Linked DNA regions of Sus scrofa. The protein of the gene in region 3 purifies or fractionates together with the protein of the main gene of each other region. This does not show direct contact. Links are inferred from orthologs where the notes say so. Each region holds a gene or a part of one and is shown on either strand. Other genes may lie near its edges.

The links.
Region 1: the proteins of NIFK (region 3) and NOP2 fractionate together in Homo sapiens (co-fractionation; 3 studies listed by BioGRID, with this or other methods). This does not show direct contact. The link is inferred for Sus scrofa from reciprocal best matches to the Homo sapiens genes NIFK and NOP2.
Region 2: the proteins of NIFK (region 3) and RPL31 fractionate together in Homo sapiens (co-fractionation; 3 studies listed by BioGRID and IntAct, with this or other methods). This does not show direct contact. The link is inferred for Sus scrofa from reciprocal best matches to the Homo sapiens genes NIFK and RPL31.

Annotation. Positions count from the first base shown.
Region 1 is NC_010447.5:64,103,823-64,109,779, reverse strand, and holds the start of NOP2 (probable 28S rRNA (cytosine(4447)-C(5))-methyltransferase), read right to left. Parts: upstream 3,572-5,957; intron 3,283-3,571; coding exon of another isoform or gene 3,279-3,282; coding exon 3,176-3,278; intron 1,679-3,175; coding exon 1,633-1,678; intron 1,192-1,632; coding exon 1,103-1,191; intron 918-1,102; coding exon 679-917; intron 1-678. Other genes in the region: CHD4 (chromodomain-helicase-DNA-binding protein 4), read right to left, coding at 5,116-5,133, 5,317-5,480. UniProt on the Homo sapiens protein: S-adenosyl-L-methionine-dependent methyltransferase that specifically methylates the C(5) position of cytosine 4447 in 28S rRNA. Required for efficient rRNA processing and 60S ribosomal subunit biogenesis.
Region 2 is NC_010445.4:53,291,817-53,297,686, forward strand, and holds the start of RPL31 (60S ribosomal protein L31), read right to left. Parts: upstream 3,572-5,870; 5' UTR 3,466-3,571; intron 3,081-3,465; coding exon 2,974-3,080; intron 1-2,973.
Region 3 is NC_010457.5:29,716,692-29,722,860, reverse strand, and holds the start of NIFK (MKI67 FHA domain-interacting nucleolar phosphoprotein), read right to left. Parts: upstream 3,838-6,169; 5' UTR 3,823-3,837; coding exon 3,778-3,822; intron 1,912-3,777; coding exon 1,753-1,911; intron 257-1,752; coding exon 119-256; intron 1-118.

The DNA of each region.
Region 1 (5,957 bases), on a different chromosome or scaffold from region 3:
CAGAGTTTTGGCGTTATGGTCCACATGGTGCCTCTAAGTCTCAAAATAGTAGCTCTGTAAAGGGGGGGGTTGTGGGACAAAGGTGCAAGTGGGGACTTTCTTTGTATTCCATACAAAGAAATTGCTTCAATTTTCCTAATTACACACTCACATACTAACTGTACAGTACATAATAACTTCTCCTACTTCAGTAAATAAATCGTTGTCTACGTTTTGGATCCTCTTCCTAGGACAGAATCACCAAGTCAAAAGAAAAAAATCTTTTTTTTTTGTCTGTTTGACATTTCTTGGGCTGTTCCCACGGCATATGGAGGTTCCCAGGCCAGGGGTCAAATCAGAGCTACAGCTGCCGGCCTACGCCGGAGCCACAGCAACACAGGATCCGAGCCGCGTCTGCAACCTACACCACAGCTCATGGCAACATCAGATCCTTAACCCACTGAGCAAGGCCAGGGATCGAACCCGCAACCTCTGGTTCCTAGTCGGATTAGTTAACCACTGAGCCACAACGGCAACTCCCCAAAGAAAAAATCTTTTTGAGGTTCACAGATACCAAATAAAATCCTTGTCCTCTACACAGGCTTATCCTCGTCACCAAGGGACAGTCAGTCTCAACGATCTGGAAAGACTCAAAAAGGCAAAGATCGCTTCCTGGAGACCCAGAGAGACAGAGCTCACCTCTTCACTGTCATCCTCTTCTTCGTCCTCTGAACTGGAGTTGGCTCCATAGTCATCTACCATATCGGCATCACTGTCCTCAGAGCCCCAGAGGTCCCCCTCGTTCACCACACCACCCTCTTCAGAGTCTTCCTCCTCTCCCTCCTCCTCACTGCTATAGGCTGATGCTGGGCGCTTCTTGCCTTGAGCAGCATTAAATAAGGACAGGGCTCCCTTCTTACTCGGTGTCTGGACGGCTCCTGCAGAGATCCCAAAGGGTTTGAATACCGGGCTGAGAGCAGTCACACATTAATGAGGCCTGTACTCTCTACCCCCACAAATGTCCTTTGGCTGTTCCTTTCACTCCAGAAATGATCAGCAAGCTCTTCCCTACCCAGGACCCAGTGTACTCCTCACATAGCACCCAGCTCCTATTTTCACTGACCTTTTGGTAGCTTTCCAGGCAATGGTCTGGCCCCAGGGGATTTATTTGTCTCACGGACTTCAGCAGAGCCCAACCTCCTCTTGGCTGCCCTGAAAAGACATAAGGAGTAAGGAAATGGAATACCCCTCCAGGCTCTGCCACTTCCCACTGCAGGGAACCATGACAGTCCCCAAAGAGCCCTTTCCATCAGCAGGGTCACATGGGATCATGTGCCCAAAGATGAGCAGGACCAATTTAATCTGCCTGTGTAACATAAATGTGGACATTCACACTCACCTCTTTCTTTCCTTTTTTTTTTTTTTTTTTTTTTTGGTCTTTTTAGGGCCGCACCTGAGGCACATGGCTGTAGCCACCGGCATACACCACAGCCACAGCCACGCCAGATCCGAGCCTCGTCTGCAACCTATGCCACAGCTCATGGCAACACTGGATCCTTAACCCACTGAGCGAGTCCAAGGATTGAACCTGCATCCTTAAGGATGCTAGTAGGATTCGTTTCCACTGAACCACGACAGGACTCCTACACTCACCTCTTTCGAGCACGACTGGACAGCCTCTTGGAATTTTCATCACCAGCTGTTTAAAAAATCAAAAAAAGGAAGAGAGGAGGTTATGAGAAAATAAAAAGCAGGAGAGAAAATAAAAGGGCAGAGAATTAGGACAGTAGTTAAAGGGAAGAGATTGTAACTCACTCCACTGTGCTCTACAGGGAGCCGGGTAAAGAGATGTAAAGGAGCTGATCGCCATCTGGCTGCTCATCAACCAAATCCAAACTGGGCCTCCCTCCAGACTGATTTCAAAAAATAGCATCATCGCCATTCTGAAACTTTCAAATCTTTCTTCTGCCCTTTCTTTTATCTAATCAGTTGCCAACCACAGATTTCAAAACTACTGCTTTTCCTATATTCTCCAAGAAATAGAAAGTTTAAAGCCCTCCTATTTTTTTTTTTTTTCCTTTTGTCCTTTTTTTAGGGCTGCACCGGAGGCGGCTTATGGAGGTTCCCAGGCTAGGGGTCCAATCAGAGCTGTTGCTGCCAGCCTACACCACAGCCACAGCAACGCCAGATCCTAGCCATGTCTGCAAACTACACCACAGCTTAGGGCAGCACCGGATCCTTAACCCACTGAGCAAGGCCAGGGATCGAACCCGCAATCTCATGGTTCCCAGTCGGATTCATTTCCACTGCACCAAGACTGGAACTCCATAAAGCACTATCATTTTATAACTATACAAATTAACCTCTCAGCATCCATTTCCTCGGCAGTGCCTCTCTCACAGGACACAGAGAATGAAGTGATATAATGTGTCCAGCGGGTTCAGCATTGTATTTACCACTTACCTATACTTCAATAAACTGCATCTTTTAGACAATACTCAACACAAACTACCTGCAGTAGACTCCTGACCAAGTGGGAGCCAGCTCTGTGCCTTCCCATCTCCTCTACAATGCAGTTCACAGTGACTGGACTGTCCCGTTCCCAACTTCCACCTGCTAAAATGTCACCCACTTCTCAAAACCCAACTTCTTTTTTCTCCTTCTCTTCTTTTTTTGTCTTACAATCTTTTGTGTCCAGGGCTGATTTTCAATAGATCACACCAAGGGAGCTGCATGGCTACCTATGAAACCCCCACACAGAAGCAGGTCATCTAAGAAGAGCTTAGTGCAAAACCCAACTTCTTGGAAGTTCCTGCTGTGGTGCAGTCGCTTAACGATCAGTATGGTAGGTCACAGCTCCAGTTTGGATTCGCTCCCTGGCCTGGGAACTTCCACATGCTGCCGAGACGGCCAAAAAAAAAAAAAAAAAGTCACAAAATCTTTTCAAACTTGGCAACTCCGTGGAATCCTGCTTCCTCTGAAGGCCCTAAACATTAAACCACACATCTCCTTGCATGGGAACTTGTGCCCGTCACATCTTCCCTAATTTCTAAACGTTTATGAGATTGTTCCATTCATATTTACTTCCTAATAACTCATGAACACACAATCTAAAAAACTGAGGGATTACACTACAGATGGAAGAACGGCGCAAAAGCTAGAGAATCGGAAGGGGACGGGCACGCCTGACCCTTACCTGCAGGCAAGAATCTGACGAGTTCGGTCTCAGCACCTTTCTGCTTTCGGGCCTTTCGGCCCGGCCCGCGTTTCTCCTTCGTAGGGTCCAATTTGCGCCCCATGGTACTGAGGAAAACAAAAACGAGAGACAGTAGAGTGGCGCGTGTTGTCCGGGAAAGGCAGAGAGCAGACGAAGCAAGTTGAAGTGGAAAAGGGCACTGCCTTGACGAGAACCTCGACTCAGCAGCCCCACTGCCCCTCGAGGCCTGGCCACACCTCCACTACACGCTGAGCCCCGGGCCCTGGGTCCCACACCGCTGGTACAACGTCCCCTTCCCACGCCCCGGTCCAAGTGGACGCCTCACCCTTCCTTCCTCGACTTCCTGCAGAAGACCCGCCCGAAGCTGCAGCTCACCTGGAAGCGGGTCCAGTCCCGAGAAGGCCCTAGGAAGCAGCGACAGCACTCCACGTGTGGTGCGGGGCTGGCGCTCCGACGCCACACCACGGGAACGTCTCGCGCAAGCGCACAGCGCGCCCGCTGAGGCCCCGCCTCTTCCGGGCTTCCCGTCCGCCGCGGAAGCCGGAAGTTTCATTCGCGCGGCCGCGCGGGGCAGGCGGTGCAGAGGGCGGCCGGGGAGGACCGCTCTGCTCTCTCCCAGGTGGAGAAGGCGGCGCGTAGGGGGACGCCTTTAGCTTCCCCGCCCTTCCCTCCAGATGTGGGCCTTACGCCTTATGGCGGATTTCGTCCGAAAAACTGGTACCCAAAAGACGGCCCCTCCCTTCGGACGGAGGCGTCAGAGCCGGACCCTCTTTCGCCCCACGTCTCAAGGTCGCACCCACTCCCAAGTCCTGTGACTTTGAAACCTTCTTCCTTGACACCATACCCCGCGCTGCCCCTCAGGTAAGGGAACTCTCTGCCTTGGTTCCCATACGAGAGGTCGGGAGGACGGCATCTTGTGTTCTCACTTCACACAAACAGAAAACCCAGAGCAGCCTTTCTTGAAATAAACCCTAAGGTGGTGCTTAGCAGCTGTTCAAAACTGCTCCGGCACTTCGCTGGTTTGTCTTCGCAATGTTGCGAGGAAGATTCTCCTTTGATTCTCTACAGCAGACATCTACAGCCTGGAGACGGCCGCGAAGCTGGGAGTCAGGCTTAGGCTGTGAACCCAGGGGGCTCCGGAGCTCCTCGCAGCGTGCAGGTGGTGGCGGCCGGAGCACGAGGGTAGGTGCACAGTCCAGATTTCGTGGAGTCTCAGGACACAAGGAAACCCTTGGTCTTCAGCTGCACTGTCCCAAGGCTCCCGTCGGACACACCCACCTGCACCTACACCCACACTGAACCAGAGCACTAAAATACAAGGAAACTTTTATTTTCAATTTTTGTCAAGAAATTTGCTGTGGTTTTTTATGCTTTTGGTTCTTTTCCTTTTTTTTTTTTTTTTTTTTTCCAACTTTATTTCATTCTAGCCGCTCAGGGGCTGGAGCCGCTGGGTTCCTGGTATTAAAAAGATGCCAACAGAGGTAGCTGTGTCTCGCCCAGGGGCCCGGCCCACTGTGAATACCCCCCAAAAAGGAGAAATGAAAACACAAAATAAACCAACAAAATAAAACCAAAAGGAGGAAGAAATTCAGATCATTTTCTTCAAGCCTGGCGGGAACCCACAACAGTTTGTGTGTAACAGACGTTACAGTGGGGAGAAGCCAGGGCCCAAAAGGCCAGCCCGCCAGCTCCCTGCAGATGGCGCCGGCGCTACTGCTGCATGTCTCTCCAGCAGGAAGGGCACCACTGCCCCTCACTCCCTCCCCTCCCCCAGTGCACTGGGGGCTGTTCCTCTACAGCTTGGAAGATGGGGCAGAAGGGAGGAGAGGGTCTCTCAGGCCCCCAGGGGAGAAGCTGGGCAAGGGAAAGTGAGGAAGGTCACTGCTCAGCGGTGGACGTGGTATCATCCATCTGGATCTTCACTGCTGCTGGGCTACCTAGAGAAAGAGAGAGCCAAGAGGGTCAGAATGTCAGACCCCAGGAACCCTCCTGACCCCAAAGGAACTCACTGGTGGACCAGCCCCACCTGCCCAATGTGTAAAGCCAGGGACAGACAGCAACGTTACAAGTTCCAGAGTGGCTCTGCTGGAACAGATGGCCAGAGGAAAATGGTCCTATACCTGCTGTGGAGTCGGTTCAGGTGCCCGGTTTGCCAGGCGGCTGAGAATGTTACGCTCGGACATCTGTAGCCTCACAGCAACTGGGGGAATTCGGGCAATAGTAGCTGGGAGTCGAGTCACATCGGCTTTCATGTCACTCAGCAGTTCTTCTAGCTGTTTCAGAACTGCATGGGGGGGAAAAAAGGCGGTGAGCCGTGGTGGTCAAGACCTAGGCCCATCTTATAATATGTGGACCGGCTTTCCCATCACTTCTCAATGATCAAGTGACGTGCTGGAGTGCTGTCTTGTCAGTCACCTGACCTGGCTCCACCACGCTCAAATTCCTATTCCTCATATTCCAATTCCAAGTGTCCATGATTCTATGTTTTAAAGTTACCTCTGTCTCTTGATCCCTGTCTCTATCTCCATCACTTTTATTTTTTCTTGACTGTGCCTGCAGCATGCAAAAGCTTCCAGGCCAGGGAGAGAACCATGCCACAGCAGTGACAACACCAAATCTTTAACCACTAGGCCACCAGGGAACTCCGCCACTTCTTAAATAGCTATTCCTATTTCTTTCCTCTCCACTTTTGGAGCTGTCTCCCTCTTCCTTTATAACAGCTGCCTTTTCCTCATTTCACCCTCCACCCCCTCACAATGTC
Region 2 (5,870 bases), on a different chromosome or scaffold from region 3:
ACAAATCTAAACCTGGAACAAGGCAGAAACAGTTCTTTTCCCCTACAGCATGTGGAAAAAATAGAACTAGTGTAATACTTGGGGCACAGAAGATGCACAATCTACTTTCAATAATGTAGAACAAAGACTATATATGACCATTAAGAGATGCTAACATACACACTGACCAACACTTTCCTGATAAACACTCCTATGCTCTAATATCTAATACTCTCTGCCAGGGAAAATATAATCAAAGAATGTGGTTAGCATAAGCCTGAACATACAATATCCAACACTGAGGTAAATTAAGTGTCCTCAAGCTAAAATACAATTAAGATTATCTGTCACATCCTAAGACAAGCCATGTTTCCGGAAATCATTGAACACTAAAAGTTCGCTAATAGCTTGGTCTTAAAGAGCAGGGGTCTGAAATGTACCAGTTTCAAGAAATACGTCGAGGGCAACAGTTAATTCTACAGATTCCAGGGCATGTGTCAGGCACTATTAACCTGTGGTTTTGATAAGAATACATAAATCTTTTTGAATTCCATGTTGTAAGTTAAATGTGGAAAAACCAAACTTTATTACAGGCTGAATCAGTTACACATTTGCTAAGTGAAAGCTATTCCAAGTGGGGCAGAAACCAAAGTGTAAAGAGGTGATCCCCCCACTGTAAATGACAGGAGGGGCCGTGCTATCAAGTCTCCCTTCGCTCTACCCTCTCAGCCTCCCCAAACCCATCATGCCAGCTGGCTTCATTCACTTAAAGCCCATTTTTCACGTGGTTTATATGGGTGACACTCAGATGGTATCAAGTGCTACAGAGAAAAATAAAGCAGTGAAAGGAGAAAGCATTAGGGAAGGGGCTGCAGGTTTAAAAAACCCCAGCAAGATCCAGAGATGACAAGGACAGCTACCAAGCTGTCTGCAAGAAAAACACCAAGGCAGGGGAAAAAGTGAAACTAAAACCAAACTGCTACTCAGACTCAGATACTGCCTGGCCTGGTATGATTAAGAAAGTGGTCAATTCATGAGGAATCACAGCAGGAACATGGCTTTTCTGCCGATAGAGGGTTTGAGAAGAGACCAGGTGTCTGGGTGGAGGGACCAGCGCAGGCAGATTGTGGAAGGCTGAGCCCAGAGGACATGCCCACAGGCCAGTGATTGGGGGGGGGGGGGAGGCCATGGGGCAGTGGGAGGGCCAGGGGTGAAGATGGACCCCAGGGGGCTGGTCTGGGGGAAGGTAAAGCTAGAGATGCCTATTAAACACCCAGGTAATACGTTTCAAAAGCAGCTGGGCATGTGAGGCCCTAAAACTAGTTGTTATTACCAAGTATAGGCAGAAAATGGAGGACCTGAGCCCTGGACTCAACATTAAGAGGATGGGCAGTGAGGAGGGACAGAGCAGACTGAGGAACAGCTAGAGAAGCAAAAGAAAAACAAAACCATGGAATCTTCGGGAAGTAAAATGAACAAAGGACTCTCAGTTGCTGCCAATCAAGTAAGAACTAAAAAAAGACCAAAAGACTGCTCTGCACACATCTTCAGTTAAAGCCTTTGCGGCAAAATGCCCCCAAATCTCATCCACCTGCAATGGCTCAAGCCCACTCTTCCAATTCCCAGTTGTCTGACCTTTAAACCACCGCCCCTTTCACCTGTGACTTACTCACCATCTGGCACTTTCTACCATTTTATAGCTGGATACTTCCCTAACTTCCCCACCAAGGAAACTCGGAAGGCAGGATCTTTGGTTCCCTTGTGAATCCGCAGAGCCCCAGACACAGTTAAGTGCTTAACATGCCCCCCAGTGAACACATTCGTGCCCCAATAACGGGGTGGGAGGAGAGAATGTGGTTACAAGCTGCAGTAATGCACAAAAAGGGCACCGTTGACCCAGAAACCCCCAGAGACCTCAGGCTTCACACATGGCCAACGCTTGGCTGGAAACGCCAGGGCTAAGAGACAGTGCCACACATTTAAATCCCTTTCGAAAATCAGTTGTCCTGAGATGAGAATGCCCAGACAAGTTGCTCCCCAGACTGGTGCCTGAGTATTTTGCAGCACCACCCTGGCTCTTAAAAACACTCCAAATAACAGCACTCGATGGATTTGGTCTGTTATTACTAGTCAGCACCGTGTGCATAAAAGGGGGAACACGCACAAAGCTCAAGAACTAAAAACGAATCCGACTAGCATCCATGAAGAGGCAGGTTCGATCCCTGGGCCCGCTCAGTGGGTTAAGGATCCAGCGTTGCCAAGAGCTGTGCTGTAGGTTGCAGGCCAGGCTCGGATCCTGCGTTGCTGTGGCTGTGGTATAGGCTGGTGGCTACAGCTCTGATTGGACCCCTAGCCTGGGAACTTCCACATGCCGGGTGCGGCCCTAAAAAGACAAAATAAAAATAAACAAAGAACTATAAAAACCACACCCCAGGGAGGAAAATCAAGAACTACGACATTCACAGTCATTCCCAACGTCCTTGTATATCACATATGCAGCCAGCGTCTTCTCCACAAACCACTGCCCGCTAACTTCAGAACACTTTCTTCTCTGGCCTCTCCAGAACTTCCACATCCAGCACCACAACTGGACCAATATTACTTAGTACTTAGCTGTGTGGGTGGGAGAACTAAAATTACCCCATTGCAATGTTCGGACTCTGGGCCGGACCTGGCGTTTTTAGTTACCTGGTTGACTTTACTGGACTCTGGAGACAGTGAAAAGGTCTACTCATCCTCACACACACGTCTCACCCCTAGACCTGCCGGGTTTAATTCGATCAACACAGCAAGAAGTAGCATCGATTTACCACCGCATCTCCCCAAGTAGGCTTCCCAGAACCCTTATTTAGGCGTTAACCTCCATTTCGCTTTAAACCCTACAAACAGCCTTCGATAAGGTCTATGCAGTAAAGACTTGGGCTCTTGAAGAAACGGTTCATTTCTAGACCCCGCGCGGTCAGAAGACACTGGCCGAACGCAGGCATTACTCACACGCCATGGATGCGCTTGTGAATGTTGATCGTGTACTCCCTGGTTACCACCTCGTTGATGGCGGACCGGCCCTTCTTCTTCTCGCCACCCTTCTTTGCGGGAGCCATCTAGACCCAGGCGACAAGGAGGCTCAGAGTGAGTGGGACAAACCCAAGCCAAGTCCTTCCTCCCGGCCTGGCCTCGGGACGCTTCCAGGGGCAGAGAGTCCGGCCAGGTCCCTGAAGGCCCACGTCTGGGAAAAGCCCGGCGGGCCACGGCACGTCTGCGCCCTTAGACGCCCCCGCCCCCGGAACCCCCTGCAGCCCCGGCTCTCCTAAGCCGGCCACTCTCCCTCACAGGCTCCGGGAGCCCTTAAACGCAACGCAGACTCCCGTGCCCCTGGAACGCGGAGGCCCAGGTCGGCTCAGGAGAGAGCCCCCTGTTTCATTCGACACAATCCCAGGCGAGGATGGCGCCGGATTCCTCAAGCTGGGAGCCAGCACCCATACTCACTTTCCCCGGCCCTGGTTGGAAAGGAAGAGCGCAAGGGTTTGTGGGAGAAGGAAAGCGGCGTCGCAAGTACAATTTCCGGGTCACCTGGAAGGGTGGGCGGGGGGAGAGGCTGTGACGTCCACGGCGCGCGCCGCAAGAAATGCAAGCTTGTCTCGAGGGCGGGGCCTGAGCGGGGCCTGAGCGGGCCGCGGCCGCGCGCTCGAACGTCGCCCTCTCTGCGTCGTTTCCTACCGCCGCGTTCCAGCTGCCTGCGCACTAACAAGGGCTTTTAGAGGATGCCGGAACCTAGGCCCCCAGGAGGAGCGGACCGAGGCGAGGCGAGAAGATGCTTTTCTGGTTTTCCCACTCTCTCAGCGATCGGCCAGGCTAGCGTTGCCTGAACCTGTACGCCAGGCTGGTGGCCCTGGAGATGCTCCCGTCGAGCAGGGCGGGCTCGCGAACCGGCGTCCTCGCAGCCCGGTACCCGGGAGCCTCACGCGGAGGCTGCTGTGCAGCCGCGGGCCGTGGGTGAGGGTGGCTGGGCTAGGAGTGAGGAGGAGGCCGAGGAAAGGTTTGCACAATAAGTATTTTTAAATTAAAATTGACAGTTTATAATTGGCTATATGAAATGTCAGTTTTGGAAGCACCGTTAGTAGAGTAGTTGACAAATCACCTTGGAAAGGAGTAAAATACTGTATACGACTTTTACATCGAAGAAATCAGTGTGATTTCATGACCTTAAAGCAGTATTTGTTTTCAGCTCTATCACACGCAAATGGCCCCATAATAGCAATAGCACTTTTCCCCAACACCTGGAAATGAAAAGAGAGAAATCTGACTTTGGAAATGAAAAGTGAGGAATCTGACGCCAGCACGTCTGGTGTGAGTTGACCGCGTAGCCACGTCCCAGATCCCCATGCCAAACCGATGGGTTGACAACTCTGGACCTTAAGTTGGTCAGAAATTGCATTCTTTTGTTGCAGGCAGCGTGGGTATGGTAAGGTCCTTAAACCTAGGGAGGTGTAAAATTTTATTTGCTGAGTTAACTGGAGCCCTCGAAATGTATGTTAAAACTGGACCATTGAGAAGGCGTGAGAATGATCATGGAATAAAATACAAGACAAAGTTAAATCTGTGATATTCACACCTTGCAGCCAGTTCTGATGTAAAGATAATCAATTTTGTTATATTTTGTGGGTCCTTTTTAGAACTCTTAAATCTGTATCAGACTTGAGATTTGAATTAAATTCTTACGAGTGTTTCTATCTGTAATCTCTTTTCATAATTGGGGAAATTTTTTTTTGTAAATTCCTAAATATCGACTCATCTGTTGTTTAGGTAGTATGTGATTAATATGGGAAATGTTGACAGTGTAATGGTTAAAAGAATGCTAATTGATACCTTTTTAAGATCAATAAATTGGACATTACATGACTTACAGTTAGTGGTGATATCTTTCCAGGTACAAAATTCCCTCTGACAAAAATGAATTTACCAGCGTGGAGGATAAAGATTTTCAGTTTGTGTCGATGTGTGGGTCATGGCACCACTGAAAAAAATGGGGACATTGGGAGAGGGCAGTTGGTTTTAAAGGATATTGAGTCATCTACTGAATTAAATTCAGGAACTTTTAAGTGTATAAACATTGGAGTATACATTTTAAGGCATGCATTACTTTAGTGAATATGCTAACAGGTTACCCTGCTTCTCCCATAACTGGACATTGTCTGGTTAGGCAAAAATCCTAAGGAGATTTTCTTGTAGTGTTTCTAATGAGCTTTTATTTTTCCCAAGAAACTAAAGCTTTTCCACAGATACCATAGGCTGGATATTTCAGCTATTGAATCAACCATGTTATGCTAAGAGAAGTGAAGTATACTGTGGTTTGTCTTGGTCATATGCATTGTATAAAGTTCAATGTATGAAGTGCCTTGTATGTGTCCAAAAAAAGCTACATATGGCATTTCTCTAGGGGATCTAAATTAGTTATATCTCTAGGTTATTGATGGCTGACTTTAAAACTGTCAGGCTTCACATCAAGTGAGGAGAGAAACTGAAGCAATTTTGTACCCAGCACCCACATTTTACCAGATAATTTGGCAAGAGTACAAAATGTCATGGCTTAGAACAGTATCATAGTTGACAAGTACACCATGTTGACTATATAAACAAAAATTTCAGATTAATTGAATGGATGTTAATTGCCATTAGAGACAGAAGATACTACATTTTAGCTGAGTTAGTTTAAAATATTCTAAGACTTGGTGTATTCCAGAGTTCACGTTTCAGTCACTTGTTAGCTAAGCCTTTATAGTTTTCCAAATAGAAAGGTTATGGCTTTTCAGGAACCAGGACAGGGTTGCAAAATACTCTTTTAGTTAGCAAAGTTAAATGAAAAATTTAGGGATTAAACTTCTGATGTTCTG
Region 3 (6,169 bases):
AGTTCTCGCTCCACCCCTTTCTAGAGGGAGCGATAATAAGGAACATGCTCCATACACTGTCAAGGGTGATATTCTTTTGGAAAATGAAACAACTTATCTCAATCCAAAAAAAACTTACCTTTTTACTCCTGGACAGTCTCAATCTTGTAACAGTGCCAAACTGGGAGAAATATGCTCGGATCTGGGTTTCATATAGCGATGGAGGTAAGTGGCCCACATAGATTACTCCAGGAGTAAGTTTTTGTTTCTCTGGTTGCTGAAGACATCAAGACCAGGCAAATATTTTTTTAAATAAGAAACAACAACACATTGCAACAAATCCTGTGAAAACTCCCTGCTTTCAGTCTAAGACAACAGATAAGAACCTACCCTGCATCTCCACTTAGCACAACAGAATATAAAAATTAACTGTTTAATGTCCATCTCCCCACAAAGACAATTGTCAAGCAGGAGACTGTCTTCTCAGCGTCCCCATTCCAGGCCCCCAAAGTCAATGCTCAGTAAGTATACGGTGAATCAATGGTTTGAACGCATTATTCAAAATCTTCTGGCCTAAGAACTCCACATAAGTACAGTTTTGCAGATCATCGTTTAATTCGTACTCACCTAAGTCAACTATTTTAAGACGTTAGTTAACAGTACCTCCAACATACCCTTGTTTTCTATAATAAGGACTTTTAAGTTTTCCGGGAATGCATTTTATGCTAAAACCTTTGGGAAACAGAACTTTATGTCAGGGCCCCTAGTCGTAAGCAAATGAAGCCTGGCAAAAATTGTCTCTTAAGGATTCCAAAACCATGGACCTGGCAACCGAACCTCCCCAATTTGGGGATGAAACCATGTACCAGACCCTAAATCTTTGTGTTTTGAAATAAACGGCCTTTCCTTTAGTCTCCCAGGCCTCCCCTCAGTCTCAAAAGGCTGACTCGAGAGTTAATGATTAGAAAATACTGTTACAGCTAAAACCTAGTTAAAACAGTCTCCATTATGTTGTGTCCTGCCTTGGTCTGCTAACTTATTACTAATGTTTACTTTCTAATCAGAGTTATATTGCACCTAATGTTTTCTTTTATAATTGAAACACTCTTCTGACACCCCTTCCCCTTAAGCAGTCTTTATTCCAGAGAGAAGGTCAAGGGACGATAACCCTGAAGACAACCAGAAACCATCACCAAACCGACTGACTCCGGATTTGACTACTTTGAAATGATCTATGGATTAAGAATAACATAGACATCTTAATCAATAATCCTGTCTTCCGAGCTAAACCTATAAAACCCCTTGCTATCCCCTCTCAAGTCAGGACATAGCTTTGAGGCATTAGCCTGCCGTGTCCTCCTTTGCCTGGCAAAGCAATAAAACTGTTCTTTCTCTTCCTCAAAACTCCGACTCCCAAACTAGTGCCAGTGAACAGAGGCCACATTTTCCCTACAGGGGCAGAGCCAAAGAACGCTCTTTCGGATCTGGGGCTGATCTGCGGTACAAGGGGCGCTCCCATCGGCTGGCCTCCTCTTTTCCATCGTCACCCCAACACCCACCCCTTCATTTTTCGGTCCTCTCGGGAAAACCTCGGTCTCCTGGGGTCGGGGTCTCCTGGGGTCGGGGTCTCCTGGGGTCGGAGTCTCCTGGGGTCGGGGCCTCCAGGGTGACCCTGCTGAGGCACAGGCGTGGGGCTGCCGAGACGCGCTGGGCAGAAGGCCCAGGGCGCGCCAGCCGCCTCCTCTCGCGGTTGGGGCCGCGCAGGCCACTCACCTTGGTTGCGCGACGGCGAGCCAGCGCTACCTTCTTCTGGAACTTAGCATCTTCTTGCGGATTCAGGGACAAGAGCGGCCCAACCTGGGCAGCGAGAGCCGCCATTAAGCCTGCTACCGGGCTAACCAAATCCACGCGGAGCTCCCGGAAATGCGAGTCCTGTAGGGTTCCAAAGCGGAAGTGAGGGCGGGGCCTGGGCGCGACGCGGCGCGGCAGGGGGTGGGGCCTGGGCGGGGCGCGGGGAGGGTCCAGCGAGCTCCGGCGTCCCCTGCCTCAACAGCCGCTGACCTCACTCTAACACCTGCCAGCTCCCCAAAATTGCTGTGAATAGCTTGTTAGCGTTTCCTCTATGGCCCTCACATTTCAAGGGCCAGGGTTGGGATAAAAACCAACTCCAGGGAGTTCCCATTGTGCCTCAGCAGGTTAAGAACCCGACTAGCATCCATGAAGGTGTGGGTTCCACCGCTGGCCTCGCTCACTGGGATAAGGTTCTAGCATTGCCGTGAGCTGTAGTGTAGGTCACAGATGCAGCTCAGATCTGGTGTTGCTGTGGCTGTGGTGTAAGCCGGGCAGCTGCAGCTTTCATTTGACCCCTAGACAATCGACTCCAGAAATTCTCTGGTGTCTCAGCGGGTTGGCTCAGGGCAGGTAGCTGCTGCAGTTTCTATCCCTGGCCAGGGAACTTCCTCCAGTCCTGAGCGCAGTCAAAAACCAAAACCAAAAACGAAACCAACCCCAAAACAATACTCGTGCCCTTGAGGTCTTGCTAACCATTAATTCTTTTCTATTTATCTTCTTTCTTTTTGCTGTTTAGGGCTGCACCCTCAGCATAGTTCTCAGGCTACAGGTTGAATCGGAGCTGCAACTACCCGCCTACATCACAGCCATAGCAACTCCACATACCACAGCTCCTGGCAACGCAGGATCCTTAACCCAGTGAGCAACGCCAGGGATGGAACCCACATCCTCATGGATACTAGTCGGATTCGTTACCACTGAGTCACAATGGTAACTCCCCTATTTTCCTTTTTCACTTGTTTTTTGAGCTCTTATTGTGCGTCCCTCTGCTGCTGCCTTTGGGGAACTTAGAGCTTGGGGGGAGGGGCAGATAAAGGACGTCTGAGGGTGGGTCTGGTGCTATGTGAGATACTGAAGAGATTGGGGGAGAGGCATCCTGGGTGGCAAGGAGGGCCTCCGGAGGAGGTAGCTTTGAGCTGAGACCTGAAGGCATGGGGAGCAGGCATGGAGGTCTTAGGCTGGAAAGAAGGGACCAGCCATTGTGGCTGGAGCTCAGCAAGGGGTGAGGACCAAGGGTGCAGGTGGGAGCTCCAGGGCTCTGCTTGTCAAGGTTGAAAGCTTGGGTTTTATTGTAAATGCAGGGGAATGGGAGGGTTTTATGGAAGGCTGTGGTTGTTCATACCTTTCAAATAACTCCACTAGTTAGGGTGGCAGGTGGACTGAAGAAACAGGGAGTCAAGGCTACAGTAGTAGTCCATGCCAGCCAGTATGGGAGACAGAGGTGGCAGATTGCCCAATGAAAACAAATGCACTACCTAAAATTTGGGTATTACGTTTTCTCCTTCCGATTTTTCTTGTAGAGGGCAGAGGCTTCTTGGGTAGAACAATTTTTCACTGGACTGTGTGTCCCACTCTGCCTTGGCACCCTGTCTCCAGCACCTGATGTCAGCACCACCCTTCTCCCCCCAAGTCACTTAACAACCAAATGCCTCCAGACACTTCTACAGACCTGAGTGTGTGGCTGCGTGTGCTCAATGAATGTCTCTCCTTTCTTTTGCCCCCACTGACCACCCACCATGCCACCCCTCTGTGGGAACTCAATAGTGGCATGTCTTTCCTATGGGGCCACCATCACCACCTATGCACTGGAGCCCCTGGCAGGGGATGGGGTAGGTAGCATGGTGAGGGCTGATGTCAGAGCTTCAGGGTAAGGCAGGGTGTGCTGAGTATCTAGGGAGCTGGGTCTTGGGAACAGAAGACTCTGAGAGGTGGGGCTGAGGTGCCTACCCAGCCCTGCTCGCCTTCCTCCTCTTCTCCTCCTTTTCCATCCATTGTGCCTGGTCCCTGAGGGGTCATCCAACCTTCCAGCTATGAGTCAGCATGCTCAGCCCTGCCTGGCTGACCCTTGCTCAGTCACAGGGCTTTTGGGCTGAAAGGGACAATTTTAGGGGAAGTGGAGAGAAAGTGTCATTTGTTTCATTAGTCTCAATAGTGCAGCCTCAGGACATGTCACCTGACAACTAAAAATTCCGCCTGTATTCAGTTTAGGGCCACAGGACCTGAAGTTGGGAGGGAAATTTTCTTTCTCTGTCCTTCTCTGTGACTATCACCTTGGCCACATCTTGCCCTGTGCCAGGTCTAACTTCATGCACAACCCCGAATCTAGACCCTGAGTGTGGCAATGACCTTGGCAAAGCGGGGGGGGGCGGGGGGGGGGCTCCTGGAGGGATGGGGGTGGGGAGAGTGGAGAGGGGTAGCTGCTCATAGGGTTCACTGCCCTTCAAGGAAACTTGTAGAAGTGTACCACCTATAACAGAGTCTTCAGTACTATTAAATGAGTCATATTTTCACCCTTAAATGAGCCCAGAATGTCTACAGTGTTAACATTCACACTCAGGAGAGTGCAGCCAAGTGGCCAGGGGGATGGAGATGAGTTCAGTTTCTCTAGAAAGAGATTTGGCAAAATCTGTCAAGGACTTTAAAAATAGGACTTATTGGAGTTCCCACTGTGGCTCTATGGGCTAAGAACCTTACTAGTATCCATGAGCATGTAGCTTCAATCCAGTGGGTTAAGTATCTGGCATCGCCTTGACCTTTGGTGTAAGTCACAGATGTGGCTTGGATCCTGTGTTGCTGTTGCTGTGGCGAAGGCAGGGAACTTCATATGCCTCAGGTGTATCCCTAAAAAGACAAAAACAAGCCAACAAAAAAAGAAGACTGGTGGAAATTCCTGCTGTGGCACAAGAGGATCCGTGACATCTCTGCAGCGCCAGGATGCAGGTTCAGTCCCTGGTGCAGTGCAGTGGGTTAAATGATCCAGTGTTGCTGCAGGTGCAACATAGGCCAAAACTGTGCCTTGGATCTTCTCCCTGGCCCAGGAACACCATATACCTTGGGGCAGCCAAAAAAAGAAAAAAAAAAAAGGACTTATCAAAGCAATGATCTTATCATTTAAAAAATTCTAATTTTTTCTTTTTTGTTGTAGTCGACTTACAATAATTTCAAGTATACAATTTAGTAATATTTTTATAGATTATACTCCATATAATGTTGTTATACAATATTGGCTATTTCACTGTGCTGTACATTACATTCCTGTTACTTGTCTATTTTATACCTTGTGGTTTGAACCTCTTAATCTCTGACCCAATTTGCTCCTCCCCCCATTAGTCCATTACTCTGTGTCTGTGGAACTGCTGCTGCCTTGCTATATTTAATCGTTTGCTTTATTTTTTAGATTCCTCATAAAAGTGAAAACATACAAGAGTTACCATGGTGGCTCAGCATTAATGAATCTGACTACTATACATGATTTGATCCTTGGCCTCGTTCAGTGGGTTAAGGATCTGGTGTTGCCGTGAGCTGTGGCATAGGTTGCAGTCTCAGCCTGGATCTGGTGTTGTGTGACTGTGGTGTAGGCTGGCAAATGCAATTCTGATTTGACCCATAGTCTGAGAACTTCCAAATGCCATGAGTGTGCTCATTAAAAAAAAAAAAACAGTGAAAACATACAGTATTTGTCTTTCTCTGCCTGACATTTCACTAAGCATACTGCCCTCCAGGTCCATCTATGTTGTCACATTTGGTAAAATTTCATTCTTTTTTATGGCCAAGAAATAGTCCATTGTATGTATACATATATAGGCTACATTTTTGAAACTATTCATCTGTTGATGGACACATGTTGCTTCCATATATTGGCTATTGTAAATAATGCTACTCAGAACATTGACATGCGTGTATTTTTTCAAATTTGTGTTTTTCTTTTCTTTGGATACATACCCAGGAGTGGAATTCTGGATTGTATGCTACTGCCATTTTTAATTTTTGAGAAATCTCCCATAATGTTTTCCACAGTAGTTGTACTAACTTATATTCCTACTAACAGTGCAGGAGGGTTCCCTTTTTTCCACATCTTCACCAATACTTGTTATTTATTGTCTTATTGTCTTTTCTTTTTTTTTTTTGGCTGTGCCTGTTGCATGTTCCCAGGCCAGGGATCAAACCTGTACCACAGCAACAACCCTAGCTGCTTAAGAGAAAATGCCAGATCCATAACCTGCTGCATCACAACAGAACTCCTGTTTACTGTCTTTTTGAAGATAGCCATTCTTACAGGTGAGAGGTAATATCTCATTGTGCTTTAGATTTGCATTTTCCTGATGATTAGTGATATTGG